Linked DNA regions of Lonchura striata. The protein of the gene in region 3 interacts with the protein of the main gene of each other region in a pairwise test. Links are inferred from orthologs where the notes say so. Each region holds a gene or a part of one and is shown on either strand. Other genes may lie near its edges.

Evidence for each region.
Region 1: the proteins of GRN (region 3) and ARFGAP1 interact in binary tests that used the Homo sapiens proteins (3 or more experiments, as listed by UniProt). The two-hybrid records come from large-scale screens. The link is inferred for Lonchura striata from reciprocal best matches to the Homo sapiens genes GRN and ARFGAP1.
Region 2: the proteins of GRN (region 3) and NLK interact in binary tests that used the Homo sapiens proteins (3 or more experiments, as listed by UniProt). The two-hybrid records come from large-scale screens. The link is inferred for Lonchura striata from reciprocal best matches to the Homo sapiens genes GRN and NLK.
Region 4: the proteins of GRN (region 3) and C18H22orf39 interact in binary tests that used the Homo sapiens proteins (3 or more experiments, as listed by UniProt). The link is inferred for Lonchura striata from reciprocal best matches to the Homo sapiens genes GRN and C22orf39.

The regions. Positions count from the first base shown.
Region 1 is NC_134619.1:6,100,637-6,107,742, reverse strand, and holds the start of ARFGAP1 (ADP-ribosylation factor GTPase-activating protein 1), read right to left. Parts: upstream 3,005-7,106; 5' UTR 2,889-3,004; intron 1-2,888. UniProt on the Homo sapiens protein: GTPase-activating protein (GAP) for the ADP ribosylation factor 1 (ARF1). Involved in membrane trafficking and /or vesicle transport.
Region 2 is NC_134622.1:11,202,473-11,210,305, forward strand, and holds the start of NLK (serine/threonine-protein kinase NLK), read left to right. Parts: upstream 1-4,828; 5' UTR 4,829-4,970; intron 4,971-5,201; exon of another isoform or gene 5,202-5,257; intron 5,258-5,646; 5' UTR 5,647-6,211; coding exon 6,212-6,669; intron 6,670-7,833. UniProt on the Homo sapiens protein: Serine/threonine-protein kinase that regulates a number of transcription factors with key roles in cell fate determination. Positive effector of the non-canonical Wnt signaling pathway, acting downstream of WNT5A, MAP3K7/TAK1 and HIPK2.
Region 3 is NC_134627.1:2,567,701-2,575,114, forward strand, and holds the start of GRN (progranulin), read left to right. Parts: upstream 1-4,402; 5' UTR 4,403-4,485; intron 4,486-4,491; exon of another isoform or gene 4,492-4,609; intron 4,610-5,272; 5' UTR 5,273-5,286; coding exon 5,287-5,376; intron 5,377-5,448; coding exon 5,449-5,520; intron 5,521-5,618; coding exon 5,619-5,703; intron 5,704-5,789; coding exon 5,790-5,893; intron 5,894-5,975; coding exon 5,976-6,123; intron 6,124-6,249; coding exon 6,250-6,356; intron 6,357-6,983; coding exon 6,984-7,098; intron 7,099-7,178; coding exon 7,179-7,276; intron 7,277-7,414. Other genes in the region: TMEM98 (transmembrane protein 98), read left to right, coding at 1-43, 508-639, 867-900, 1,166-1,281, 1,699-1,758, 2,284-2,491. UniProt on the Homo sapiens protein: Secreted protein that acts as a key regulator of lysosomal function and as a growth factor involved in inflammation, wound healing and cell proliferation. Regulates protein trafficking to lysosomes, and also the activity of lysosomal enzymes.
Region 4 is NC_134620.1:7,537,820-7,543,920, reverse strand, and holds C18H22orf39 (synaptic plasticity regulator PANTS), read left to right. Parts: upstream 1-3,957; 5' UTR 3,958-4,017; coding exon 4,018-4,044; intron 4,045-4,224; coding exon 4,225-4,392; intron 4,393-4,898; coding exon 4,899-5,024; 3' UTR 5,025-5,594; downstream 5,595-6,101. Other genes in the region: UFD1 (ubiquitin recognition factor in ER-associated degradation protein 1), read left to right, coding at 163-235, 718-786, 1,307-1,372, 1,676-1,723, 2,084-2,172, 2,563-2,644, 3,040-3,114; MRPL40 (large ribosomal subunit protein mL40), read right to left, coding at 5,861-6,101. UniProt on the Homo sapiens protein: Negatively regulates long-term potentiation and modulates adult synaptic plasticity. Stabilizes the interaction of RTN4 isoform A/Nogo-A with its receptors, inhibiting clustering of postsynaptic AMPA receptors at synaptic sites.

The DNA.
Region 1 (7,106 bases), on a different chromosome or scaffold from region 3:
CTTTTACACTAAATAGTATTGTAATTCAACAGGCATATCTCACTGGCAGACCTCATCATCTCACTCTAATTTTTATGATGCAGAAAACAGCAGGGAGCAGTGGCATGCTATGGATAAAATTCACATTAAGACAAAAAATGTGATTTACACACAGTAAACAGCCTGGAAAAACCCAAAATGCATAAAGCACTCATGATTTGAAGAACTACAGTGTAGGGTACAGCATAAGGCTGCAATTTAGATAAAAAATAAATTCCTATTATCAACTAATAGCATCATATTTAAATTAACTTTAAATAAGTAACATCTGTTCTCCCTTTTTACTTCCTCTCCATCTTATAATTTCTACTCCAGAAAACAAACTTCTAAGACAGAATTCACCAAGCAGACTAGAAACAGCACCAAGTACTAAATATCAAGCTTATTGGCCAGTCAAGATACAAAGCATAAAACAGCAGGTTGATATTTTCACCAAACAAAGGTTGGTATGAGAGGCAAAAAGGCCTTTAGGCAACTCTGTTCACTGTGCTGTTTGACCAAATAATCAAAAGTCCTTAGAACATCAATAAAATTAACAATCTCACAGTAATTTTAGAAGGTAAATGACTGTTACAGACAACAGCCCTAGGGGATGGAGGAAGTATTTATCTTAAATAAATCAAGGAAGGGTGTTTAAAAAGGTAAAATGCTACAGGTAAGGAAATATTGCATTTGTATGACTGGCAACAATTTCAATCTCTAAAGCAAAGCAGTACAATAAATAGTTCTGTGCATCACCTGCTAAGATAACATGACTCAGAAAGGAAAAGCTCACTGCTGTACCTACATATTGCTACTGCTAAAAGCAGAGGGTGATTGTAGCACAAGTCATTGCTTTTTATCTAAAGCACTTATTCCTCTGTAAATATCTTGTTAACAAATGCTTAATTTTGTGGAATTTAAGGTGAAGTGCTTTCATTGATGTTTAGAATGTGCCACCTTTTCAGCCTTAATTGCTTTGTATTGGGCAAAACCAGGTAATTGCAATAAAAGTCAATGCAAATAGTGGTGAATAAAATCTTCCTGCCATCCTGTATTAAAATAAAACTGAGCACAGTTATTTTTATCAATAATCTAATAAAAATTGTGTAATTTTAAGACAGGAGAATGAAAGTGTGTCAAGTGACTACTCATATAATTAAACACACCTTTTCCAATAGCATTTCAATAACATTTAACCTTCCACAACTCATGTGCATGTGAGCAGGGAGGGAAATAGCACTATGTGCATTTGCTCATGTCCTAAATAACAACCATAAACACATTTATATGATTCTCAGTCTCTGTCTTCAATTCCACTATCTGTCCCTGGTGAGCTAATGTAGAATTCTTCCTCTGCAGTACAGAAATTAAGTAAATAACTCAGCAGGAATAGCCAGACAGACAACAGTGCACCCTCTGGGCCCTCCTCTCTGCCATTATTGCTCTTTGCATGCCAACATCTTTTCCTCAGGAATTAATTTCCCCAGCATCTTCCTGTACATTACTGACAGCTTCCAAAGCTCCCCTCTTTGGTGGGATGTCCAATCCTCTTATTCCTGCCCTTCCTTTACTATTTTTCCTCCTTTTTTTACAGATTTTCAATCAGAATAACCAGCAGAGGCAGTCTACATGCAGAGGCCTGCCTCAATGGCAAACCAGCACTGCTGGAGCTGAACAGGAAAGCCTCTTCCCACTCCAACTCTGCACATGCCAGGAACTGTCTACAAAGCAGAAAGTTACATCCATCCTCCAACAGCCAATATCCAGCCCCCTCCAGAGCTTACACATGAGTTTCAGATCTCCAGCTCCAAGGTGACAAAGGAAGCAATTGCTTTTGGTTCTGCCATAACTACCTTTTTTTAAACAAAAACGGAAAGACTTAGGCAAACTGCAGTCAGAACATACACCCATTCCACATGCACCAAGTTCCCTGCCCAAACCACATCTGTCTAGTGGGAAGGAAGAGCTTCACCCACACCAAGAAAAGGAGGAGGTAACTAAAGGCACCAGCTTTTCATCTTGTCCTCCCCCACCAAAGCATTTGGAAATAAATGACAAAGTAAAAATGTCATGTTCTAAGCTTTCTAATAGGTAACACCTTTAGAGGTGCCTAGTTTACTTTTAATGATTTTCTCACAAAGTTTTAAGGGTTCAAATTATCATTGATCACCACCAAAAAGCTGAGGCCTGATAGCTGACTGGATATATAAGCAGTGCTTAAGTATATAAACTTAAGTATATAAACTTTATATACTTAAATCAGTGTTTAAGTATATAAACCTGTGCCGTTTAAGTTTCATAGCTAAATAATGAAGAAAGAAGCCACCGTAAAGAAATATACATTGTTTTGATCTAATAGAAATAGACATAAGCAGTAAAGAAAAGGTTTCGTTTTGGAGTAAATTTCCATTTATGAATATATATATTTCTGACAAGGGTTCCAAAGTGGAGTTAGCTTCACATAAAGCAATCTCACACTCTTATTTCCCAAACAATCTGCTCCCAGAGCAAAAACTAGATGTTCACCATATGAGTTTTCTGGTTATGAAATCTTTAGTTTGCTAAACAAGGCAAAAAAGGCAGAAGTGGACTAGAAGCGGAAATAATACATAACAGGACTTTGCTCCTCTGACACAGCACGAAATTCAGAGCCAGCCTGCAAAGGGCTTTGCGATTCACACACCAAGAGTCAGCGGGTGACGTGGCCTGGTGCCTTCATGGTGCTCAAGGCTCCCCCTGAGTCCCACCAGTGCAAAAAGGCCACAGCGGCTGAAAAAACCTTGGCAAGCTCACAAAGCGCCCATCTCCACGGAGCTGGCACGGTTCTCCTTCGCAAATACATCAAAGCCGAGCAGCTCCACACTCACCCAGCGCCTCGCGGGGCCGAGGAAGAGCGATTCCTTCAGGCACACCTGCGGTACCCGGATCCCAGCGGCGTCCTGCAGCCTCCCTCCCTCACAACATGGCCGGGATCCGCCGAGCCCTCCGGCCTCTGCTTTCTGGGCAAGAAAACAACGCAGAAAGAGCTGAAACAGCGGGCAGGGCGCTGCCTCCTGCCCGCCGCGCCAGCCTGGCAGCCTGCGGCCGGGGCGGCAGCGCGGGGGCCGAGCAGCGCCGCCTCAGCGCGGGGCTGGGCTGCGGGGAGCCACGGAGACCTGAGCAACGCTGCCGCCCCTGCTGGGTCCCGGTGCCGGTCCTGCTCCCGGTGCCGGCCCTGCTCCCGGTGCCGATCCCGGTCCCGGTGCCGGCCCGGCCCGGTCCCGCCCGGCGCCGCCGACGTTGCAGGGCGCGAGGCATTGTGGGCGCGCGGCTTAACCCGCTGCGGGCCGGGCCGGGTTCCATGGGATCCAGCTCCCCGTGCTCCAGAGAGGAGTCCAAGGGATTTGTTTCCAGCTGAAGTAAAGCTTTGCAGCGAGCCTTGCGGGCGCGCTGCTCTCCCCGTGCGGCTGCAAAAACGACCCCCGGGGTTTGTGGCTGGGGCTGCCCGTGAGGGTGAATTATGTGGAATGTTGTGGAATTCTGTGGGTTTTCCTCACACACCTATGGGTGAGAGTGCAGTGGTGATTTCAGGTGACGGCCCGTGTTGCTCCCAAGCTGGGGATAGCAGATGGAGGGGCTGAAGCTCCCCCAGCTTCACGTCCAGGCTGCTGTGGTCACAGCTGGAGCGCTGGGATGGTTTGGGGTACCCCAATCAATATATGGAGGAGATAAATCCCCTAAGGAGCATCCAAAGGAGGCCACAAGTTTGAGGAAGGATCTAGGGAAAGCCATTAGAGGGGTGGGTGAGGGTCCTTGCGTTGTTCAGCCTGAAGAACAGGAGACTGAGGGGAGACATCATTGAGGTTTGTGCTTCGTCATGAGAGGAGCTTGTTATAAATGAGAATTTATTTAGCCAGATTAAAAATAAAAATAATTTTATTAGCTGTCAAATTCTATCTAGCCAGCCACACAGAAAGGACAGAGCTGAGCCCGGGGTCGACCCTGGGTGTGCCACAAGGAGTCAGCCTCAGCAGAGGTTTTCTCCTATGCCCACACACCTCCATCCTGGCACAGGCGGTTTTTATAGAGAAAATTCCACCTGAGGCCAAGATTTTAGCAATCAGTCCTTTCTTCTATTCAGAGTCCATAGATTAATAAGAATTTCTTTTTTTGGTGATGAGGAGAAATAATTCAATGTCCGGAGTAGGTAAATTCTTGTTGGGAGTTTACAGGAAGGCTGCATCCACATGGATCTGTCTGAGTATTTCCATGATGTCCATCTCAGACGATCAACACCAATGATGGCCCATCACCCAGCCGAGCCACATCCTTTTACTTGTAAATCAGTTTCCAATATATACTCAGTCTCGCCTGCAAAAAAAAAAAAAGGGGGGGGGGGGTTGGAACTAATACAACGGGCATGATTTAACAAGTATCCAAATTACATATTTCATACAAGGAATGGCGCAAATTATATTTATTACACATAACAAGCTGGAGGAGCATCTCTGCTCTCTGTTGACCAGGGGTAGGACACAAGGGAATGGTTGAAACTGTGTCATGGGAGGTTTAGGTTGGATATTATGAAAAGGTTCTTCCCACAGGGGGTGGTTGGGCACTGAACAGGCTCCCCAGGGAATGGTCGTGGCCCCAAGGCTGCCAGAGCTCAAGGAGGTTTTGGACAATGCTCTCAGGGATGCACAGAGTGGGATTTGGGGGTTTCCTGTGCATGGAAACCCCAAAAAGTCTGGGTTGGACTCAGTGATCCTTGTGTGTCCCTTCCAACTCAGGACTTTGTCCCCAGAGATCCTCCCAAAGGTGAGGGTGGATCAGATGGAAAGAGCACCCAGAGTTGCTTTGTGGTGCTTGGAAGCACAGGCCAGGCGAGCACATTTATGCTATTGCTAACTTCTTTTTAATCATCAGCTGTGGGCACAGGGCAATGATTTAGTGTTTACATCTGAATCCCACAGAGACAATACGCTGCTCATTTCGGTGCAACTCCTAGTCTGGCCTCTGTACTTAATAAGTAGGCTATTATCTGACTATCAGCGCACAGGAGATTAACAGGAGCCATTTTCATTACCATTAATGGTGGCTACACACATAATGCCCTCACATCAATGAGAAGATAATGGGCCCTTAAGTGTGCGTTGTGTAAGGCTGACAGAGGAAGGGGTATGAAATATAAAGCAAACTCGGCTTAAATAACTTGCTTTTCCAGTTAAGGAGAAAGTAATCTCTTCTCATAAGCACCATCATTTTCTGGTAAACGTGAACCAACAGGCAATGAGGTTCCCATTACACAAATGCTGTGTTACAGGGCCTAATGAGCATATTAATCTTTGTTTTTCCATATAATTGGTAGATAATCCAGGGATTTGTGTAGGCCTTGGCTCTGCAGTGGTTCTGGGTGAATGTGTGTGCTCACAGCCTGAGCCAGGAGTCATCCTCAACCCCAGACACAGTGAGCAGAAAAGACTCACCTAGGTAAGGGCTGCAGGACAGGCCTGTCTGGTGAGCAGTAGGAATGAAAGGATGCCACAAACATTTGTCTTTCTCAGCAAGCAAATAAATGTGTTCCATTCCCTGGCAAGTGTGATTTGCACTGTTCCAGGAATTTGGGATGGGGGCATAGCTCTCTCCCCATCTCTGCAATGTGTGGCAAATGTCTATTCCGAGATAATAGATAATGCCAAGAAAAAACATTTGCAAAGGCAGCCAGCACTGCCTTCCCTACTTGTTCTCTTTATCTGCTTATGAGCTGTTTCTAGCTTGAAACTAAATGACAAATATTTTTAGCACAATTGCCATTGTTATAATTGTTATGCCCAATGTCAAGAACATATGAAACATGATGATAAGGAACAAATTACAGCATAAAATAATACAAGGCAGGCACAGTATCCTTGAGCTGTTTTCCATGTTGAGATTTTCCAGATAGAAATCATTTTGCTTGGCTTCAAAAGGACAATATGCAAACATGTAAAGGTCAGTCTGATTTGAGAGCACAGAAAACAGCTAGAGCCAAATTCTGCAGAGATTTCATGAATAAGTTCACCATAATTGCAGTGAAGAAGACTAATAGCAAATGGAAACTTACTAAGATGAGCTACCTAGTGTGCAATTTTGCTTGTAAATTAATGATGGTGTTGAAACTTCTTAGGAGAAAAAAAATCTCTGGAATAGGATTTAAACCAAAGAACATTCATTTTCACTTTTTTCTGTTTTACACATTTACTAAACCCTTTATAATCTATTAATAAGACTAGATTTTGGTTATTAAATATTACAGTCCTTGGCATTAATGAAGCGGCATTACCTCTTGGTTTAAACCACACAAAAATACCTGAAAAATTCTCTTCTAGAATAGCTGAAAGCCTGAGCTTCAAATAATAAAGGGAAAAGCCTTTCTGGACTTGTTTACTGATGCCTATGTGGGCTGAATTACAGCCCTCACTAGTAGCAGCACTTGTCATGGACCGAGAAACTGTGAATTTTTATTGCCTTTTTCCTTCCCAACACACCTGAGATGAGCCACTATATCAGGATGTCACAACACTTAAATTGAGGAAGAACAAGAAGAAAACCAGATCCCGTCTTCGATAAATCTAGTTAATAAATCTGAGGAGCAAGGAGGGAGGAATGGACCTGTTTGTATGATAAATGTCACCACTGGAGTTCTGCGTTGTCACTGTGCGTGACTCATGTAACTGTGTGAACAAAGTACACCTGTGAATGTAAGAAGTGTGTCTGTAACTGTGTGAGAAATAATGCAACACCAAACTCAGCCCTTCTAGCACCAGGAGAAGTCTGGTTAACTGATGGGACTGTGGTAACACCCTTTTCCTGCAGGATTTTTTGGTACTCCTGCTCTGAGTAGCACCCTGGGAACTGCAGGTTGTCACCTGAGCCACCAAAGGCTTCACCTCATTTTCAACCTCACAAGCTTGAGAGTTCACAGTGACTATGGGGAGGGTCTTATTTTTGTAAATCTCGACAGAAAATTTCTACTAATCTTATGTCACATAAAAAAAATACTAGAAAAATTGTATGTGACATATTTTCTGCCATGGGATGAAACACCAGTTGTTATTAAATGTTTA
Region 2 (7,833 bases), on a different chromosome or scaffold from region 3:
TAGCCTGCTTCTCTCCCCTCTCCAAAACCCATCATTTAGGGATGCTGCTCGCACAAGGACAAGTGCCTTGTGGCGATGCTTTCAATTCTGCACCTTCTAGGGAAGATAACACACTGTGGAGCTATTTTAAGAACATCTCATTCACAAAGGTCTCCAATTCCGTCTTCAGAGACAGAGAGGATTTTCTTGCTGCTTCAACGTCTTTACTGGCTTGACATTTGCTTCAGAGGGAATTCATTTGCTGTTCCAACATCAGAATGGAGCAAGAGCAGCTGCCAGGAGAGGGATAAAAGGAAACACTGTCGACAAAGAGCAGCAGGGTCATTTCTGGTGCAAAGAAATATAGAACAGAGAGAACCGCAGAACTGACACTTTCTCCAGAAAGCAGCAGGGGATAAAGATGTCCCCTCTGCCTCCTGAAACCGGTGTTTAGAAAGGGACTAAACAATCAGCTTTAACTTTGTAAATGACTGATTATTACAAACCAACTGTAAGCACCTGAGCATTCCCACTTAAAGCCAAGTTCATGCTTAAATGCTGCAGTCAGCAAAGAACTCAGTAAGTCCTTCAGAACTCTCAAAAGAAAACAATTCTGGCTAGAAAGCTCTGCAGAGCACAAGCTCAGTGTTTGGGAGGTGACATTTTTTGGATGATTTCAAGCTGCAGTGCTAATCCTGACCATCATATCTGTATATGGAGCACACTGGACAGATTTGGGGCAGGGCTGTGATCCCACCACAATAAATTGTTCTGCGAGAACAGAGGAGGCTGAGGGTCCAGGGAAGGAACACAGGTACCCGTGGAGTCTGATATCCACCATCAGGGAGAAGCGCAATCTTGGATGACACCATCTGTCCCTCACAGCAGTTGTCCCCCACCCCATCCCAGGCACATCATGCTGCCCTGCTGCAGGAAGCTCCATTCCATCCTTTAATTGCTCTCCAAGGCAGTGCCACATTCCCACAGTGCTGCTCTAAAGAGTCACCCTGCCTGCTACCTGACTGACAGCCTCACAACAGCTCACCTGCTCGGCTGGATTACTCGATTCTTTTCCCTCTATCTTATTAAAACGTTGCCCTGAGCAGGGCAGGGACTTGTCCCTCATTCCACAAGACAAGCAGACCCTGCCCTCCTCCTACATGAAGGAATATTGTCATCCTTTCAAAAGTTAAGACAGAAACCTTTATACACAACCAAAATATTCCTTCCCCTGCTCCTCTCTGAATTTTATTAATGGAGGAATTTATTCTTTTCCAGTTTCATGGAGAAAAGGTTTTGAAGACAAAAACTCTGGAAAATTATTCCTTGCGAAGAAAAGGGCTAACATACTTGAACAGCAATTTTAATCCCATGATATTTTGTGTACATGCTTATTATGTTACACGTTAGGATCACAGTTTATTTGGAGTGTGGTATTTATCTGACTAACCAAACCTGCTCAGATCCATAGGCATGAGTACCATGTTTCTGACACCTTAAAGGCTCCAGCACCAGGATTTATGAATTAAGTATTTCCAGGGTGTTACAGAATACTGAGGACTGTATCTGCAGAGTGTTATATCAGGGTATGTGTGGGCTTGTCAAACACCCACATGATAAATTATCAATAGTGCAGCTCAGAGCACCCCTTTTGTGGATCAGAGACAAATCTGTGCATTTTATTATGCTTTGTTCCACTTAATGTTATTATTTTCTGCATTAAAGGTTCACAAAACCCTTACATGCCCAAATGCTGAAGGACATTCACACACAAAAAATGATCAAAAGACTTATTCTAATATTTCAAGTCCTGTTTTCACAGCTAGTTCATGTGGGACAAGGAAAAAATGCTGACAAGTTATGTCTGGAACTGGACAATTACATTTTATATTGTTCAAGATGATACAATCTTTTGCGTAGAATGTTAAGGTTAAAACACTACTGAGGAGCATTAAAGAAACAGGACTAGCTGATTATAAAGTGCCTACCATCCCTTGCCTGTATGCAGAGCACTGTCAGAGATTATAACTCTGCAAACCAAGTGTCAAATCTGAGAGGAAAATAAATCTCTCAAGAGTCAGAAAAGACTAAACTTGAAGCAGTGGATTTTCAGAAATGAACAAGCGTGAGCCCAGCATTTCTGATGCACAATATTGACTTTTACATGCAGCAACAGACCTCTGTTGAGGAAACAAAGGGTCTACTAGGCGAGCACTTTGCAAGTTTCATGTTTTCCTTACTACCCTTCTGTTTTTTCCTTACGCATACTTCCCTATGAATCAACTTGATCTTGTCCTCCTTAACCTGCCTAAAAAGCAGTTGAACTGAGAGCTTTTAAGTTTCACAGTGTGAAGAGGCCAGGAACATCAGTTGAAAGTGTTTATGAACCCAGTGTGCAAGTCAGATACACTGGTGAGGGTGGGCCACCCAACGCTGGCACCTGACAGAACTCCATATGGGCACCAAGATAAGCACATCCCTCACCAGGCTTCACCTCACAGAGCAGGGCTGCTGCAGCTTCCAAGGGCAAATAGAACAACATGGCTGTAGCATTTAGTGCATCTGGAAACGATAAAGTGGGTCCCAGATTTTACCCACACTTCACAGATGGAAGCTGGGGAGCACGGTTTGGAGTGATCTGGTCATGGACTGCTAGGAAACATGTGCCAGTGCCAGGAGTGCAAACCCTGCGCTTCTCCTGCTGCTGCTGCTGAGAACCCACTGACATGACAGCATCTAACAACACTTTCAGGGTACTTCTAAGGCAAGACACTTATTTACCCAGTGAAGTACCTAACTGAACAAACAGTTAAGGTGACACTGTGTTTAGACCTGAATAGTGGCACTGAGACACTGACCTGCAAATACACTGAGAACCCAGTTTCTCATACAAGGATTATTGGGCCACTGCTCCCTTTTACTACTTGAAAAGGTTTTGCAGAAGAGAGAAAAAGAAAAGTCCATAATGAAAATGTGTGGGAGAGTTTTAAAAACCTTGCAGTCTTGCCAAGACAGCCCTATGCCCTTTTGTACCAGCTTCCTTCCTTCTCCCCCACACCACACCTCCCCAGAGCCCCAGGGGAAGCAGAAACCAGGAGAACCCTTGGGGTGTGCCATATTCAGACCCGGCTTGTTATCAGCTCCAACAGAAACCCCAGACAGCTACAAATGTGAGTTCCAAATAAGTATTCTGTCTCTTCTTCCAATAGGTAATATAAAATGGCTGTAAACCAAAATTTGCTTGTTTCTTTTTTTCTTAAGTGCAGTCTGTTTTTAAGATGGTGACATGACAGCAAAACTCTGATATAATTCCAGACTGGACTATTAATAACCATATTTCCAAATGCAACAGGGATAGCTTTAACAAAGGAGCCCATCTTCAGTCCTGCAAGACTTTTCTTGATTACATTCTCAAAGAGCAGGCAAAAATTACCCAACTCCCATTGTTATAAAGTATCCCCAAAGTATCAAACCCATACTTGCAAAGATTTTGCACTGAGGTTTCAGGAGTCACAACAGGCTGTCACATTTATACGCTCTCTTCCTCCCCCTGCAGAGGAGCCTAATGCTGTCCAGTCTTCAGAAACAAACAGAAAGGACAGATGACAGGACTGCACCTTCAGGGATCTTCTGGTAACACCTCAGCACTGCAGCTGTCCTGTCACAGCTCTGCTGAGCTCTTTTCCTGCCCAGACAGGAGCCAGGGGCAGCGAAGGAGAGGCTCAGCTCCCTCCCAGCACAGCGAACACATCCCCTGTCAGTCACGGACTGCCTCCGAAATGCTCAGTTCAGTTACCTGAAAGAACCTCTTCATCACCCTCACGGTAATTTAACTCTACCACCATGGGAAAGGCTCCAGTAACCTGGGAGAGTTTTTCTGAAGTAAAACTATTAATCAGATATGATTAATATTCGCATGAGAAAATGGAAGGTGTTAAAACTTTTTTTTACCCACCCCTGTGTTTCAGGGAACACTGATGCCTTACCCAAAGACACTGCAGTCCCCAGGCATGCAGATTCATAGCGTGAGGGAGCTAAAACAACAACCAAAGGATATTTCGGTCCTGGTTAACACGTACCTGGCAGTGTCCCCTGAGCGTGTTCTGAGCACGCTGAAAGGAGCCTCGCAGAGACTGCCTCGGGCAATGGGCCACGCTGCTGGGAGCACTACACCCTCTCATTAGCGGTTTATTTCTCTTTCCTGCCAAGGGGAGCCCACGCACGGCGGGACATGGTGCCACAGCCCAGGGGCCCCGCTGCCAGCCCCGCAGTCGCCGCTCTCCGGTCCTCAGAGACTCGAAAAACAGGCCCCAAAACCCCACAGATCCCCTGCCCTTGGCGGGCAGCCCCCGTCGGCCCGCCGTGCTGCGGGACCGGCCCCGGCGGCAGGGAGCGGGCGATTCCCGAGGGCACCGTGACCCGGGCGGGAGCAGGGTGGGCACAGAGGGAGCTGCGGGGGCAGCGGAACCGGGCGGTGTGAGGGCACAAGGGCACCGGGACCCGGCGCGGCCGCTCAGCCCGCCCTCAGCGCGGCTCGCGCTCCGCCGCCCCCTCAGCGCCCACGGCGACCCCGCGCGCGCCGCGTCCTCACCTCACCCCGCCCCGGGCCGCGATTGGCCCCGCCCGCCGTCCGTCAGCAGATCCCCTCCGCCCATTGGGCGCCTGCCGCCCGTGGGCGGGCGCAGCGGCCGCTTCCTCATCCGTGATTTGCGGAGCGGCGGCTCCTCCGCCGCCCACCGGCTCCGCCACTGGCGAGGAGAGCTGTCGGTCGCGCCGCCGCCCGCCTCCCCGTGCCATTGGCCCAGTAACCTCTTTTCGGGCTTTCGTTTCTCTGCATTGGCTCATTGGACTGGACGGGCGGCTGCGATTGGGCGAAGAGCGGCTCCCGGGGGCGGCACTGAGCTCAGGAGCAGCGTCCATTGGCCGGCGGCCCGCCGTGAGTGGCAGGAGGGTGAAGGAGGCGGGCCCGCCCGGGGTGAGGGTTGTGTGAGGTGAGGGAATCTCGCGGGGTCTCGGCGGCTCCGGGCGCGGCGGCGCGCGCTGATTGGCCGGCGGGGTCACGGGGGCGGGGCCGCGCCGTGGAGAGGATGGGGGGGGGAGCTCCGCACGGCCGCGCGCGGTGGGCGGGGCGCGCCGGGCGCCGCGCGGCGATTGGTCGGGGGCGGCTCTCGCGCAGCCCGGCGGGCCGGGCGCGATTGGCTGCGGGCGGTGTCGGGCGCGCGCCCCGCAGGGGGGGGGGAGCGCGTGCCCGCGGCGCGGCGCGGGGCGGCGGGACCAGGTGAGAGCGGGGCCGGGGCCGCGGCCGGGGCCGCGCGGGGCGGGCACCCGGGGCCGCCCCCACACCCTCCCGCCGCCCGCACCGCGGGCCCCCTGCCCTCCACCCCCGGCCCGACGCCCCCCGGCCCGCCCGGCCCCGCCCCGCCGCGGGTCGCGCTGTCAGGGGCCGCTGCGACCTGCCCCGCGCCCCCTCCCCGGTCCCGCTCCGCCCCGTCATTCATTCGCCACTTTTCCCCCTCCTTCGCCCCCCCCTCCCCCCCGCGATCCCTGTCCTGCCCCGGCCCTTCCCTTCCTCCTTCTGTTTTTATCTTCTTTTAGCCCCCTTGCCCCCCTTTCCTCGCCCTGCGCCGCCCTCCCTTCACTTTCTCTGGGTCCTTGTGTGTGTTTCAGGCCTTCAAGGAAAAGTTGCAAACTCCCGAGTTGTTGCTGCTGTGAGGGAGCAGGTGCCTGGAAGGAGGGAGCAGGTGTCTGGAAGGAGGGAGCGATGTAGGAGGTGCCCGGGCGCAGGGAGGTTCGGGGGACACATGGAGAGGGTGTGGGAATGGCAGGGCTAGGCTGGCCAGCCCTCGCGGGGTGTTCAGGGCACAGGCTCCGAGCCCTCCCTCCGGAGGGAAGGGGGATTGATCACGGTGTTTAATTTTTATAACAAGAAAAACAACAAAAATAACCAAAAGTGAAGGAAAAAACCCACCCCGGCCCCACCCAGCTGCCCAAGGATGGAGTTGGAGTAGCCAAGCCCAGCTGGATGCTGGGGAAGGGGTTGGCGCCCGCACACATGAAGAGACTCCCCGAGTTGTTTGGCTTCGCGAGGAGATAAGGCCAGTGGAGCTCCATGTTTTTAAAGGTGGGCCGTGTATGATGAAACCCAACTTCTTTTAAAGTGTAGCAGATTTAATTTTTATGGCCAAATGACAGCTTGACCCAGTTGTTATCCAATCAAAGGGCATTTTTTTGAATGTCTCTTTGTGGCACAACAGCCAACGCAAAAATGATGGCGGCTTACAATGGCGGTACGTCTGCGGCAGCAGCAGGTCACCACCACCACCATCACCACCACCTTCCTCACCTCCCTCCTCCTCACCTCCATCACCACCACCATGCTCAGCACCACCTGCACGCCGGCTCGGCGGCCGCGGTGCACCCCGTGCAGCAGCATGCCTCCTCGGCCGCCGCGGCCGCCGCAGCCGCAGCCGCCGCCGCCGCGATGTTGAACCCAGGGCAGCAGCAGCCGTACTTCCCATCCCCGGCCCCGGGCCAGGCCCCCGGACCGGCTGCAGCAGCCCCAGCTCAGGTACAGGCTGCAGCAGCTGCTGCAGTCAAAGCGCACCATCATCAGCACTCACAACATCCACAGCAGCAACTGGACATTGAGCCGGACAGACCCATCGGATACGGAGCCTTTGGTGTTGTCTGGTGAGTAGAGACAAAAGTGAACCGATACCTCCTTGTCATTCTTTACCTGATCATAACTCATCCTTGTTTTTGTCATTGGAATCAGAATACAAGAGAGCTGCTTACTAAGAGTTTTTTTGCTGGTTCTTCTCCGTTCTTAGAAAGTTGCTTCGCTCGTTTGCGTTGGCAGAACAAGGTTCCCAGTGGTGAGGAGCCACCTCTGACTAACAGGCCACCCTGCCGTTCTGAGACAATACAGCTTATTTATGCCCTTTCTGTACCTTTAATTAGAGTGTGCATCCGTGCAGCTAAGCCGTGCTTCCTAAAATTTCAGGTTAACAAATGAGCACTGGAATATTCATTTTGACCTGGCTTAAGAGTCGGAAATGAAAAGCGTATGAAAATGTCTTCCTTGTGCAGTCACCTGTCAAGATCTTTGTCTCACGGCGGTTTGACCCGCGGTAGTGCTGTGTACTACCTCAAACAGCACAGCTGAACTCTGCTCCCCTCTCAAAAATGGAAATGGGATTTCCTGCCTCGCTGTAGCTCTGCCTCCGGCCCTTTTATCCCCCAGCCGCGTTTCAGAGGAGTCTGTCAGCGGAGTAGAATCTCTCCTAATGCATTTTATGACTACCTTAGAGCCATGTATGTAGTTAGTGCCCTTCAGGAGCACTGACACAAAGCTGGCAGCAGTATATGTGCATTTGTATATAAATGTTTGTTGGCGTGCCCTGTTCTGAGCTGTGCCTGGGAAGCATGAAGGCTGGCAGGGGGCTGTTCTGGAGAGCAGGCGTGTTGCAGTGCACTTCCTGCAGCACGAATGCAAAGTTTGCAGCGTGCAGCTGTGTGTGGTGTCCGAGCCCCCTGCAGCGTTCCCAGCCGAGCCTCTGGGGTGCCCCAGGAGTTTTGCTTTAGGCACTGGCCGAGCTGCAGCTTCAGTGAGACGAGTGGCTGGGTCACGGTGTGTGCCAGTGCACGGAGACAAGAGGGCTCAGCAGGGCAGGCCTCAGGAGAGCAAAACTCCTTCTGCCTGCAGCCCAGCCTTTCAAGCTGGCCACACATCACCAGCCCAGTGCTGGTAGCAAAATGGTGCTTTCTGAGAAGGCTGAGGGAGCTGCAGGAGTGAGGTGCAGGTCAGTGTTGTGGTTGCTCCCGTGTGCCTTCCCTCAGAGCTGGGGAGTTAAT
Region 3 (7,414 bases):
GCTACTGTCACCCCAAGGATCTGCGCCACCACTACGACACCAAGTGAGTGACCCACGGGGGTGGCAGTGTCCCTGTCCCCACCAGGGAGGCACCTCAACCCCCATGGGCTGGGGACAGTGCTGGGGACATGTTCAGCATCATCACGGAGACAATCTGGGGGACATGTCCACGGTAATCGGGGAGACAAAGATGGGGACGCATCCACCATCATCAGGGGGACAGAGATGGGGACACATCAGCCATCATCAAAGGGATAAAGCTGGGGACATGTCCAACATCATCCAGGGATTAAAGATGGGGACACAGCCACTGTGACCAGGGGGATGATGCAGGCAATGTCCAGCATCATCAGAGGGAAGATGCCTCCATCTTGTCCCAGTTTGGGACACATCCACATCACCAGGGGGACAAAGATGGGGACACGTCCACCAGTATCAGGGCCACTGGGGCTGTGGGGCAGCCCAAGGAGGTGGCCCTTGGTGGGATGTCCCCCATGTCTCTGACAGACCCATCGTGGACCTGATGGGGACCATGGAGACACCGTCAGAGCCCTCGGAGCTGGAGCTGGATGACGTGGTCATCACCAACCCCCACATAGAGGCCATCCTGGAGAACGAGGACTGGGTCGAGGATGCCTCGTGAGTGCCCCCACTGCTGGGGACCCCTGTGCAGTGCCAGCCCCCCATCATGGGATGTAGGGGACAGATTTGGAGGTCACCAAGCCATGGGGATGGTCCTCAAGATGGTCTTGGATGGGAATATCCCCACAGGTCTGGGGGACAAGGGATGTCAGAAGAGGGGAGACACAGGGGACAAGGACAGAGCAGGGGGGACACAGGTGGATTCACACCCTCTTTCTCCACAGGGGTCTGGTGTCCCACTGCATTGCCATCCTGAAGGTGAGTGAGGGCGTGGCACTGGTGGTAGTGGTGACACTGGTGGGACGGGTGACACTGGTGGCAATGGCAGCACTGGTGGTACTGGTAGAGCTGGTGGCAGTGGTGGCACCAGTGGCACTAGTGATGTTGGTGTCAGTGGTGGGCAGCAGTTGTGGTAATGGTGGCAGTAGTGACATTGTTGGTACTGGTGGCACTGGTGCTGATGGTAGGTGGCACTTGTGGCACTGGTGTTGATGGGCACTGAATGGCCACTGCTGTCCCCCAGATCTGTCACACACTGACGGAGAAGTTGGTGGCCATGACCATGGGCTCGGGCACGCGCGTGAAGTCCCCAGCCAGCCTGGGTGACATCATCGTGGTGGCCAAGCGCATCAGCCCCAGGTGACGGGATGTTTGGGGGGGTCTCTTGGGTGGGGTCCTGTGGCTCTGGGGTGTCTACAGGGATGGGGGGAAAATTCCAGGGCTCTGGAGGGGCTCCAAAGATTTGGGACAGGGTGGGTCTGGAGGGGTCCTGGGGGCTCTGGGGACATCCCAGGGCTCTGGGGGGAGTCCTGAGGCACTGGGAAGGACCCTGGGGACTCTGGAGGGAAACATGGGGACTTTAGGGGTGTCCAGGGACTCTGGGAGGCATCCCAGGGTCCTGGGGTAATTTTGGGACTCTGGGAGGTGTCCTGGGGTTCAGGGGGATCCTGGGGCTCTAGGGAGGTCGCAGGGCTCCAAGAGAGCTCTTGAGGCCTGGGGTGGCTGTGCTGGAGGTGTCACCAGTGTCCCCTGGGATTAACGCTGTCCCCACCGCAGAGTGGATGACGTTGTGAGATCCATGTACCCCCCGCTGGACCCCAAACTGCTGGATGCGAGGTGACAGTGGCGAGAAGGACAGGGACTCTCCTGGGTGGGGAATACCTGTGGGTGGGGACACCCCCACATCACCTATCGCACCTCTGGGGACAACCCCACTCTGGGGACAAGCCCAGGTCATCCAGCAGGACAGGGAGGCCCGTTGGTCTGAGCAGATCCCAGAATATCCCAGGTTGGGAGGGACCCCAAGGCTCATCCAGTCCCACCCCCGTCCCTGCCCAGACACCCCAACATCCCAGCCTGGGCATCCCTGGCAGCGCCATCCAAACCCTCCTGGAGCTCTGGCAGCCTCGGGGCTGTGCCCATACCCTGGGGAGCCTGGGCAGTGCCAGCACCACTGGAGGAAGAACCTTTCCTGAGATCCATCCCAAACCCCCTGTGACACAAGCTCAGGCCATTCCCTGGGTCCCATCCCTGGTCACCAGAGGCAAACTGCTGCTGAGGGAGCCACCATGGGGCAGGGCGGGAGGTGACAGTGCGGTGACAGGGAGGTGACAGGGCAGTGAGAGCCCCGTGTCCCCGCAGGGCCGCGGCGCTGCTGCTGTCGGTCAGTCACCTGGTGCTGGTGACCCGCAGCGCCTGTCGCCAGCCGGCCGCTCGCCACTGGGTCGAGCGGTCACTGGCGGCCGCCGAGGAGCACATGGCCGTGCTGCGCCAGGCTGCCATGGCCACCGAGCCCGAGCGGCCGCCGGGCCCCGGCGAGCCCCCCCGCCAGGAGCAGTCAGCCATCTGACCCCAATAAAGGCCCCGTGTGCCCCCAGCCCCGCACGGGCGGCTCTGGGATGGGCTGGTGCTGTGCTTTCTGCATGGAGATGGGTCTGGGGAGAGAACGGGGGTGTTGAAGGGGAGGTTGGGGGTCTAGGGAGGGATTGGGGGGCTTGGGAGGGAGTGTGGAGGGGGTTGAGGGGTTTAGAGGGGATTTTGTGGGGTTGGAGGTGGATCTGGAGGGGTTGGGGGGCTAGGGAGGGAGTTGTGGAGGGGGTTTGAGGGGTTTAGAGGGGATTTCAGGGCATTGGAGGGGGATTTGGAAGAGTTGGGGGGTCTAGGGAGGGATTGAAGGACTTGGGAGTGTGGAGAAAGGTTGGAAGGGAGTTTTAAAGGATTTTGAAGGGTTTGGAAGGTTGGTAGGTGGTTGGGGGGACCTAGAGGGGATTTTGGGGGTTTGGAGGGGTTGGGGTCTAGAGAGGGTTTGGGGGACTTGGGAGGCAGTGTGGAGAGGGTTTGGAGAGGTTGGGAAGGCTGGAAGTGGTTTGGAGGGTTGGAGGCAGATTTGGGGTTGGGAGTAGGGACTGTTTTGGGGGGCTTGAGAGGGAGTTTGAAGGTTATGGAGGGGATTTCAGGGTGCTGGAGTGGGAATTGGATTTGGGGGTCTAAGGAGACGCTGGGGGCTGGGAAGGGAGTGTGGAGGGAGGTTGGCATGGGCTGAAAGGGATTTGGAAGGGTTGGGAAGATCAGAGGGGGTTTAGGGGTTTGCAGGGGATTTGGGGTGTTGGAAAGGGAGGTTTGGAGTTTATGAAGGGTTTGGAGGAAGTTGAAGAAGTTGAGGGGATTTTAAGGTTTAGGGGGTGTCAGAGTGGAAGAGGTTTTGGAGTGAATTTCCTGGGACGGGGGTCATTTGGGGGACTTGGAGGCAAATGAGGGAGTTGGTGTAGGAGGGGAAATGGGAGTTAAGGGAATGTTTAGGATCGGTTGGAAGAGGGGTTTGGGGAGGTGGAGGGGGTTTGGAGGGGCATTGGCATTGGAGGGGATTTAGGGGAGCTTGGAGGGGGTGGGAAAGACTTGGAAAGGAAGGTTAGAAGTTTTGGGAAGGGTTGGAGAGGTTGAAGTGGTCTTTGGGGCACAGGGGCTTGGAGGGGACTTGGAGAGGATTTAGGGCCACTTGTGGGCATTGGCAGGGAGGATGGGGGAGTTGGGGGGCAAAGATTGGAGTTTTGGGAAGGTTGGGGATGTTGGGGAGGACTGGAGGGGGTTGACGGAAATTTGCAGGGTTGGGGAGGATTTGGGGGCCTGGGAGGCACTGGGGCTACTGCCTGCCCTGGGAGCGAGGTCTGGAGAGCTCCAAGACACCAAGGGGCAAAACCCTGAGACCCGGGCAGGGGGATCTGTGCCCCTGATGGGCTCTGTGCCCCTGGTAGGCTCTGTGCCCCTGATGGGCTCTGTGCCCTGATGAGGGGTCTGTGCCCCTGATGGGCTCTGTGCCCCTGGTGGGCTCTGTGCCCCTGATGGGCTCTGTGCCCTGATGAGGGGTCTGTGCCCTCGTGGTGTCTCTGCCTGTGAGAGGGGAACTGGGGCTCACACAGGAGTGCTCCAGGCTGCAGACAGAGGGGTCCGTGCCCCGGGCAGGGCGGTCTGTGGGTCCGTGTGTGTCCCGGGCAGGGCGGTCTGCGGGGTCTCTGTGGGTCCGTGTCCCGGGCAGGGCGGTCTGCGGGGTCGCCGCCCCGCTCCCGCTCCCTCAGGCCGAGCCCCCCCCGCTCTCGCCGCCCTCAGCCCCAGGGGGTCGGAGGGGGGGGGGGGCTGGCACGTGACCGCCCGTCACGTGGCGGTGTGAGGCGGCCGCCGTGCCCGCCCCCTCACCCCGGGCTGGCCAATGGCAGCGCGGCGGGTGCGGCGGGCGGCCAATGGGCGGTGGGGGCGGGGCTTGCGGCCAGCGGTGGGGGGGGCTTGCGGCCGGGACCGGGAGCGCTGGTGGGGACCGGGAGCGCTGGGACACACGGGCATAGCCGGGAGGTACCGGGAGCACTTGGAGCACTGGGAGCTGCCAGGAGGAACTGGGAGTCTCGGGAGGAACTGAGAGTCACGGGGGCCACTGGGAGACACTAGGGCTACTGGGAGTCATACGGACGACTGGGAGGTGCTGGGAGCTTTGGGAGGAACTGGGAGTCACGGGAGGAACTAGGAGGCACTGGGAATCATGGGGCAGCACTGAGATCCACCGGGAGGTCCTGGGAGTCATGGGAGAGCACTGGGGGTACTGGGAGCCCTGGGAGCACTGGCGTTACTGGGAGCACTGGGGATACTGGGAGCACTGGGAGCACTGTGGTTACTGGGAGCACTGGGGGTACTGCAGTTACTGGGAGCACTGGGAGCCCCGGCTCTGCTGCTGGGCGATGTCGGGGGTCAGCCCAGCCCTGCCCGGGGGGGGTCGCAGGGGTGGGGGTGCAGTGACACCGGGGTCCCCCCGAGCCCCCCATGGGACACAGCCCCCGTGGCCGCGCTGGGCGGGGCGGGAGGTGCCCGCAGCGGGGAAAGGGAAGTGAAAGTGACCGTGACCGTGACCGTGACCGTGATTGTGGGACGGGCCCGTCCGGCACCGCAGGGAGATGTTATCGGGGCGCGGTTGGGGTGCCACACACCGCAGGGTGTCCCGCTCTCCGTGGGTGCCCCCAGCACCCCGGGGTGGGGGAGCTGGCTGAAGGGGGGGATGGGGCTTTCCCAACACATGGCTGAAAGAAGAAGTTGAGAACTGCCTGCCCGCACAGTGAGAAGGGAAACTGAGGCCGGGGGGTTCCTGCAGGTGCCCCCAGAGCCATGAGGACCCTCCTGCTGCTGTGGGTGGCCCTGGCCAGCGCGGGGGCCCAGCTGCCCTGTCCCCAGGGGGGACCCTGCCCCATCACCCCGGTGAGTGCACGGAGTTTGGGGGGATCGGAGGGGCCTCAGCAGGGGATGATAACCCCTCCTATGCCCCCCCAGGCCCTGCCTGCCCGCAGTGCAATGGGGTGCCAGGACCGCTCATCCTGCCCCGCCAACTGCCAGCTGCCAGAGGTGAGCCCCCTCCCCTGTGCCTCAGTTTCCCCCTGTCCCTGCCGTTTGGGGGGCACTCCCTGACCCCCCTGCGCTCCTTCCCCCTTCTCTCTCCCCAGAGTGTCCCCTGTGCCGGGGGCCACCGCTGCTGTCCCCGAGGGTCCCGCTGCAGCACTGATGGGGAGTCCTGTGTCACAGACCCAGGTACAGGGACACGGGGGGGTGGCGGGGGTCAGGGTGGGCCTCAAGGGGACAGGATGGACACGGGGGTGCCTCACCTGTCTCCGCAGCCCCCCGTGCTGTCCCCTGTCCTGACGGCCAGTCCGAGTGTCCCGATGATGCCACGTGCTGTGTGACGGGCAGCGGCGCCTGGGGGTGCTGCCCCATGCCCCAGGTACGGGGTGTGGGGACACGGGGACGCTGAGGGGGGGGCCTGGCACGGCCGTCGCTGTGACGAGCATGGCTGGCACCCGCAGGCCTCGTGCTGTGCTGACAAGGTGCACTGCTGTCCCCACGCCACCATCTGCGACCTGGCCCGCGGGCGCTGTGTGTCCCCCGCCGGTGACACCGACATCCCCTTGGGCACAGCCTTCCCCGCCTGGAAGCGCCTGCCCCCTGCCCCAGGTAAGGGGTGTGCCCGGGGGTGCCCTCACTGTGCCGGGCCCTCGGAGGGGACGCGGTGACACCGTGTGTCCCCCCAGTGGCGCTGTGCCAGGGGAGGGGACGTGGTGACACCGTGTGTCCCCCCAGTGGCGCTGCGCCAGGTGCTGTGTCCCGATGGCCGCTCGGCGTGTCCCGATGGGGCCACCTGCTGCCAGCTGTCCCCAGGGCAGTACGGCTGCTGTCCCCTGCAGAACGTGAGTGCTGGCACAGCCCTGGGCACCCTGGGATGGGCAGCTGTGCCAAATCTGTGCCCAGCACCCCAAACCCCCCACCCCCCACTGAACACCCCAAAACAAGCACCCCATGCCAGACACCAAATCCTAGCCATCCTCCACCAGGCACCCCAAACCAAGCACTCCTGTGCCAGGCACCCCAATCCAGCCACCCCTCACTGGGCACTCCAAACCAGCACCCCACACCCCAACACACGTCACTCATCCTGTACCCATCCATGCAGGCACCCCATTCTGGACATCCCAATTCCAAGCACCCTACAGTGATGCCAAGCACCCTATTTTGGGCAGCCTGTCCCAATCATCCTACACCAGACACACCTTGTTGGGCATCCTGTGGTGGACACTGGGCCCTGGGCACCCCAACCTGTGCCATGTCCCCATACCAGGCACCCTGCACTGCCCCACGTGCTGTGCACACCCTGTCCTTGTCCCCAGGGCCCCTGTCACCCCATATCTCTCCCCCCAGGCTGTGTCCTGCAGTGATGGGCAGCACTGCTGTCCCAAGGGCACCTCCACACCATGTCCCATATGCTGTGCCCCCCCTGTGCCCATCTGGGGCCCGTGTCATGCTGTTTCTCCCCCCAGGCCGTGTGCTGCAGTGACGGGCAGCACTGCTGTCCCCAGGGCACCACCTGTGACCTGATCCACTCCACCTGCACCTCCCTGGGGGGCTCTGCCTCCCCAGCAGCTCTGCCCACAGGTAAGACGCCCTCAGGGAGCAACCACCCCCTGTCCTGTCCCGGGGAGGGGACACCAGCCCTGACTGTCCCCTGTCCCCAGCTGGTGAGGTCAAGTGTGACGAGGAGACGAGCTGTCCCGATGGGAACACGTGCTGCAGGCTCAGCTCAGGGGCCTGGGGGTGCTGCCCCCTCGAGCAGGTACGGGGGTCCCCTGTGCCCCCAGGACACACACGTCTCCTGTCCCCCTGGGTGGGATGAGGGCAGCTGCGTCTTGCTCCACTGAGAAGGACAAGGGTGGGGGTTCCTTATATTTGCCCAAAACAAGGTTTGATGTCC
Region 4 (6,101 bases), on a different chromosome or scaffold from region 3:
TTGAGTCCCCCTTTGAAGAATTTATATATCCTAAAATCCTATATGCACTGATGGCTTTTAAACCATGTTTGAGAAACTAAGGATTAGTGATCTACAGTATGGTGATTTTAAGGCTTTGATATTTCACTGAAAATAAATATTTCATCTTAACATACTGCAAAGACTGGAAAATGCATTGAGGAACTTCGCCTGTCTAACTACTGGGGATGTGATTGCCATCAACTACAATGAAAAGGTACAGTGTAAGGTTGAGGGTTGTAGACTACTATTAGTGTTGGATGTTGGTATTAAAACAATCAACTCAGAGCTATGCAGTGTTTTGGACAAGTAATCCCACGTGGCAGATTTCACAGTTGGCTTTCTGTTGGAGGGAAAAAGGAGTCAGCTAAGTCTTTTTCTGAGCTGCTGTTTAAATTTCTTTGGACTCACAAGAAAATAAATGTTTGTGCTGTTGAAGTTTTCACAAGTGAAGGGAAAGAATTTATCCTAAATTCAGAATTTGTTTTCAAAAATGGAGGTTAAAGTACAGTAAGAGTGCAGCAAGGTGCAGTAATGGGTTCTCTGGCTTCTAAAAACTTTTGCTTTTAAATTCTGTAGAGACCCTGCAATATTTATTCTTATCAACCTAAAGAGTACTTACTTCAGGTCTGGAGGGGAAGGTTTAGATATGCTTTCCTTACACATAATGCAATCTTGAAATATCTATGACTGTTTCAGATCTATGAGCTTCGGGTAATGGAGACCAAACCAGATAAGGCTGTGTCCATCATAGAGTGTGATATGAATGTAAGTTAAAGCTGATGGGGAAGGCCTGCCTTAACTGTCCTCCCAAGAGGGGAAGGCAGTGATAGCTCTGCACACCCAGCCCAGCTGATGCTGCAAGAAAGGTGCAATCCATGGGGTGGGGAAGATGACTCACTTGGGAGTACTCATGTGCCTTTGTAACCCCTTCTGTGATCCCGATTAGTACTTCATGCACCATCAGGTGACTACCATGCCTAGAATTTAATGTTTAACTTTGGCATGTTTTATCTGAGTTTTATTTAATAGCCTTGTCTTGACTCACACTCCAGTGATATTGTGGAGCTGTTTTACTGCTTTGTTTCCATTACATGCTAAGGTTAATTCCTAGTAGGCTTGGTCTTTTTTTAGTTCTGAGTTAAAATGTTTAACAACCAAACCTTAGTTCTTTTTAGCTCAAACGCAGTGGTAATAGTTCATGAAGTTTTGAGGAATAGTAGTATAAAGCTTATGATTTAATGAAAAATATTAATAATGGGTTTTTTCATGCTTCTTGTGTAAATAGGTGGATTTTGATGCTCCTTTGGGATACAAAGAACCAGAAAGAAGTGCACAACATGAAGAGACCGCAGTATGTTAAACTTTTGTTCTTCCAAAATGCATCCCCTAGAAGTCACTGTTGACTGTGGGGGAAGTGCCAACATAATTTTTTTTTTTTTATTTAAACAAGTTCTGTAGAGTAAATTTTACTTGCCAGAAGCCTTTGCATGTGTTACTTAGGGGACTGGTGTTTACCAACTGTTGTTTTAAGAAAGTGTCTTGGTTTGACAAGTGATTGTTCTGAAGTTTTGTTTGGCCAGAAATACTTGGAACAGTTTTCATGGCATGTGCATGTCAGAACACAAACAACATGAACTTGTTTTTCCCCTCACAGGATGTGGAAGCAGACCACAGTGGGTATGTGAGCGATATAGGATTTCGTGTAAGTGCCCTGTTTCTGCTGGTTTCTGAATCCTGTAAAATGGTGAGGGAAAGTTGTTCTGAACAACTGCAAAATATCAGTACCTGTTCTTATAGATGCTTGTTATTTAACTGGTAAGTGCCTGTGAATGTTTTGTGTCATCACAGCCAGGAGCAGCATGAATTGTTCTCTGCAAAGGGCAGATGAGAGGTTGAAACAGACTCCTACACCCATGATTCATCAGCTTATATGTACCAAAAAGAATCATGCTGAGTTAAATAACTAAATAAAAATTGCTGTAAGATTTTACAGATATAATGTCCTTGTGAAGTGTGCTTTCAAATGCCAGGAGTTCAATTAAAACTGATTATGTATCCACAGGCATTCTCTGGATCTGGGAACAGATTGGATGGCAAGAAGAAAGGTGTGGAGCCCAGTCCCTCACCAATTAAACCAGGAGACATCCGAAGGTATCATTCACTTGTAAGCCAGTGAAGTATAGTGTTTGAGCAGAGTTTGGGTTTTTTTCCCTGCTTCTGTAATATAAACTAACTAATTTTGTCATGAGTTTGCCTTAGAAAATAAAGTCTTTCTTATCCACAGGCTAGTAGAAACATACATGTGGACAAGCTTCCACAACAACTCCAGTATTTGATTATTTACTTCTGCAATCTGTGCCTATCTTCAGAAAATAATTCAGTGCTTTAACTCTGGAGTTATTTAGAAATGAAAATGTGCAGTCAGTGTTGGTATTACACTGACAGACACAGAGTAGTTGTCTCTGTGTCCAGTTCAGAATAGGCCTCTGTGTGGAAAATTCAACAGTATAAAAACATAATGTTTTTATGCTTCTTTTCCAGAGGAATTCCCAACTATGACTTCAAGATTGGTAGAATCACATTCATTCGGAATTCACGTCCACTGGTCAAGAAAGTGGAAGAGGTATATGAAGTTGTATCCTCCCCAGTTTTGCACGGAATTAGAACATTAGAACTAAGATGCAAGTCTGGTCCCTCTGTCTTTCCCCTTGATTTTTTTACAGCATGCTTCCATTAAAAAGTGGTAGTAGTTTAGAATGGTTTGAGTCATGTGAAGCAACCTCTGATGTCCTTGTTACTGATTGGCCTGGTGTCGGTTTATTAAGCCAGTTGGCTGAAAAGTCACCAAAATGCTACTATTTTATTTTCAGAAAGTGCTTTTTATCTAAATTAAGGATGTGAAATGTCTACACTCAGTGGCTGCTCTGATGGAGCATTCTTGCTAACAGTTGTTCAGCTTTCATCATACAAAAGCAGTGAGCCAAGAGGTAAAACCTTTTTTCCCTTTCTTTTTTCCAGGATGAATCTGGAAGCCGGTTTATTGCCTTTTCAGGAGAAGGCCAGTCCCTGCGCAAAAAAGGAAGAAAGCCCTAAGTTGTGGTACCTTCAGCTAGTTAGGGAGAAAATAAAATAACAGGTGCAGCATCTTGGATCTTAGTAATTGCAGTTGAGAGATTGTTTTGCAACACAGGAGCACTTAACAGGTGTTTCGGTTTCATGTTTAGATCTGGAGCTGTCAGACTGTCTTAATTTTCAGCTGAAAATTAAGTTCTGGGAATTTGGAAGAAGCTTTCTGTATGTGTTGTAAAGAAGGGAATGCAGATCTGTGGTAAACCTGAGAAGCAGAACCAACAAGCTCTACCTTATTAAGGGTCCAGTTAGACTACATCTTCCCCTCATCTCCTGAGTTATGATGATCTCATGTTGCTCTGTGCTTGGTATTTTCCTCCCTTTATATATATTTTGCCACAATTTAAGATCAGCTTTTTGGTGTGGTGCAAATGAAGGGTGACTTTGGTGTTTAGGATTTTAGTGCAGGGAGTTTCTTTGAGCTTAGCTTCAGGTGTTGGGTTATTAATCATTCTAAGCAACCCCCCTGTAATTGCTTTTTATATTTATAATTAATAACATGCCTTTTAATAGTTCAAATACTATAATGTAGCGTAGGAATCTCTTGGCACGTGTAGGGAGAGGAGGGACGCAGCTGTACTGCCCGCTTTGGAACGGTGCGAGTGTATCCTGTGCGCCCTCTCGTTTGCCGGCGAGCGTACCCGGGTGCAACCCTGCGTAGTTTTTACTCCTCCGAGTAAAGTTCCTCGTTCCCAGCCGCGTCCGTGTGTGGTGATTCCGGCCAGGCCGAGGGCCGGCCCGGCCTGCGCTGGTCACGTGCCGCGCAGCCATTGGCTGCCGGGCCCGGGGCCGCTTTGTGCCGCCGCTCGCCATTGGCCGCGGCTGCGGGCGCCGCCGTAAGCGCGGTGGCCATTGGCGGCGGGCAGCATGGCGGGCACGGGCGGCTCCTGGCGGGTGAGCGGGCCGGGGGGCGGCGGGGCCGGGGGGCGGCGGGGCCGGGGGGCGGCGGGGCCGGGGGGCGGCGGGGCCGGGGCCGGGCGGGACCCGGTGCGGCCCGGCGGGGCTCGGTGCGGCCCGGCGGGGCTCGGTGCGGCCCGGCGGGACCCGGTGCTCCCCGCCCATGTCCGTCCGCAGCCGCCGCGCTCGTGCGAGGACTACTGGGGGGAGTGGAAGCACTGCCGCGGGCTGCGCCACGCCTTCCACCACTACTACGCGCACGGGGAGCTGCCGGACTGCGGCCGCTGGCGGGAGGACTACGAGGCCTGCCGCGCCTGGGAGAGGGACCGCGCCGCCGCCGCGCAGGTACCGGCCCCGGCCCGCTCCCGGCCCGCCCGCGGCTCCAGGGCCGCCGGGACCGAAACCCCGCGGCCGCGGGGCTTGGGGAGGGTTTGGGAAAGCAGGCGCCGGAGGTGGGCAGGTTAAAGTCCAGTGGAGGATCCAGGGAGTGTTTTCAGCTGTAAATACTCTGACGTTTCCTTCCTAAAAGGAAAACCCGCCACGTTACAGGGAAAAGGAGTTGCCCCTGGCTCCAGCCCCGCGGACACTGCGCGACACCAGCCCTGCGGCACAGGCTCCGCAGGGTTCCACAGCAGTGCGAGTTTCCTTTGTAACTTGAGAGCCAGAGGCAAAATATAAATATGACTTAGTTAAAAGCTTGTATTCTGGTTTACGTAGATAACATTTAGCACTTCTGCTTAAGCATGATAAATTTTTATTTCTTTTATCTCAGTTATTCAGAGTAGGAAATCAGCTCTGTATAACTGGAACATCTAGCACTATTATGATAATATTTTTTTCCTGTATTTCAGGAAGCTTTGTGCAAGAGTGAAAGAGCTCGAGTTATGGAAAAACAGAAATATGCTCCAGTGTGGAAGCTCAGGAAGAGCCCCCCACCTGACTGGTATCTACCACTTGACCATGACAAATCAAATTAACAAGACTGTTTTCTGTGTTTGGTTAGTAACATAATACACAATTCAGAATTATGCTGAACTTTTTTTTTACCTTCCATATCATCTTGAAGTTATTCAACTGTTGCTCTGCCCTACAATACTTTAGCACTCGCTTAAAAATTCTGAAATTTTATTTAAGCCCTGAATATTTTTAAAGGGAGATTTGAGGTGCTTAATTTGATTGTGGGCTTTTACTGCTGACTTACACTTCAGGATTTCATCTCGGCAGGCATCTTTCAAGATGTCTTTCTAGCTCTGAGGGGCTCTTGCTCTACCAGCTGGCATTGAGCACTTCTGGAAAAAGGTACTCACCCCAGGCCTGCCAGATGGGGGAAAAAACCCAAGCTGGGACTGTTCCTTGCAGGCTCAGGACAATCCCAAACACTGGCATTTAAAAGACACTTTCCAGAATCCGGGCCGTGGTAGTTGAACAGCTTTTCACCTGTGGGCTGCACACCCTGAAACTGCCCCTCTGTGGAACTGCTCTTGATTGGTGGTGTGTGTTGTGACAGTATTCAAAACTACTAAAAAATAAAAGTTTAAGTGAATGTAGAGAGAGATCTGGTTTGTATTAGGGCAAACAACAGTTACATGGCAATATAAGAATTTTAAAATTGGTTTTGCCACTGTGTAAGGTTGTGTAGCTTTGCTAGGTGTGTTATTACCTGGATAGTCATTAAAACAGAGATACTTCATTTATTTTTATTTACAGTCATATCCTGCAGTGTTGCAACCTGCAGGAAGAAGTGTTTATTACTCCAATCTTTGTTCCTTCAGTCGCTGAGCACCTCGTGGCAGCTGAAGCAGGAGCTCCCCTGTCACTGTGTGTACACCTTGGTGATGTCAGTGCACTTTCCTTCCGGGGGATCATAGCCAGGAAGGGGAGGGGTGTAACTGGGTCCGTCCCTCTGGAAGGGGAAGAGCTCCTCGTCCCTCCGGATTGCTGCCTGGTACAGCTCCTCAGATTCCAGCTGCAGCTCCTTCAGTGCCTCCTGCTGAGATTCTACAAGGGCTTTAATTGCATTCTTTTCTGCCTCATCTTGTTTCTGCTTAAACACA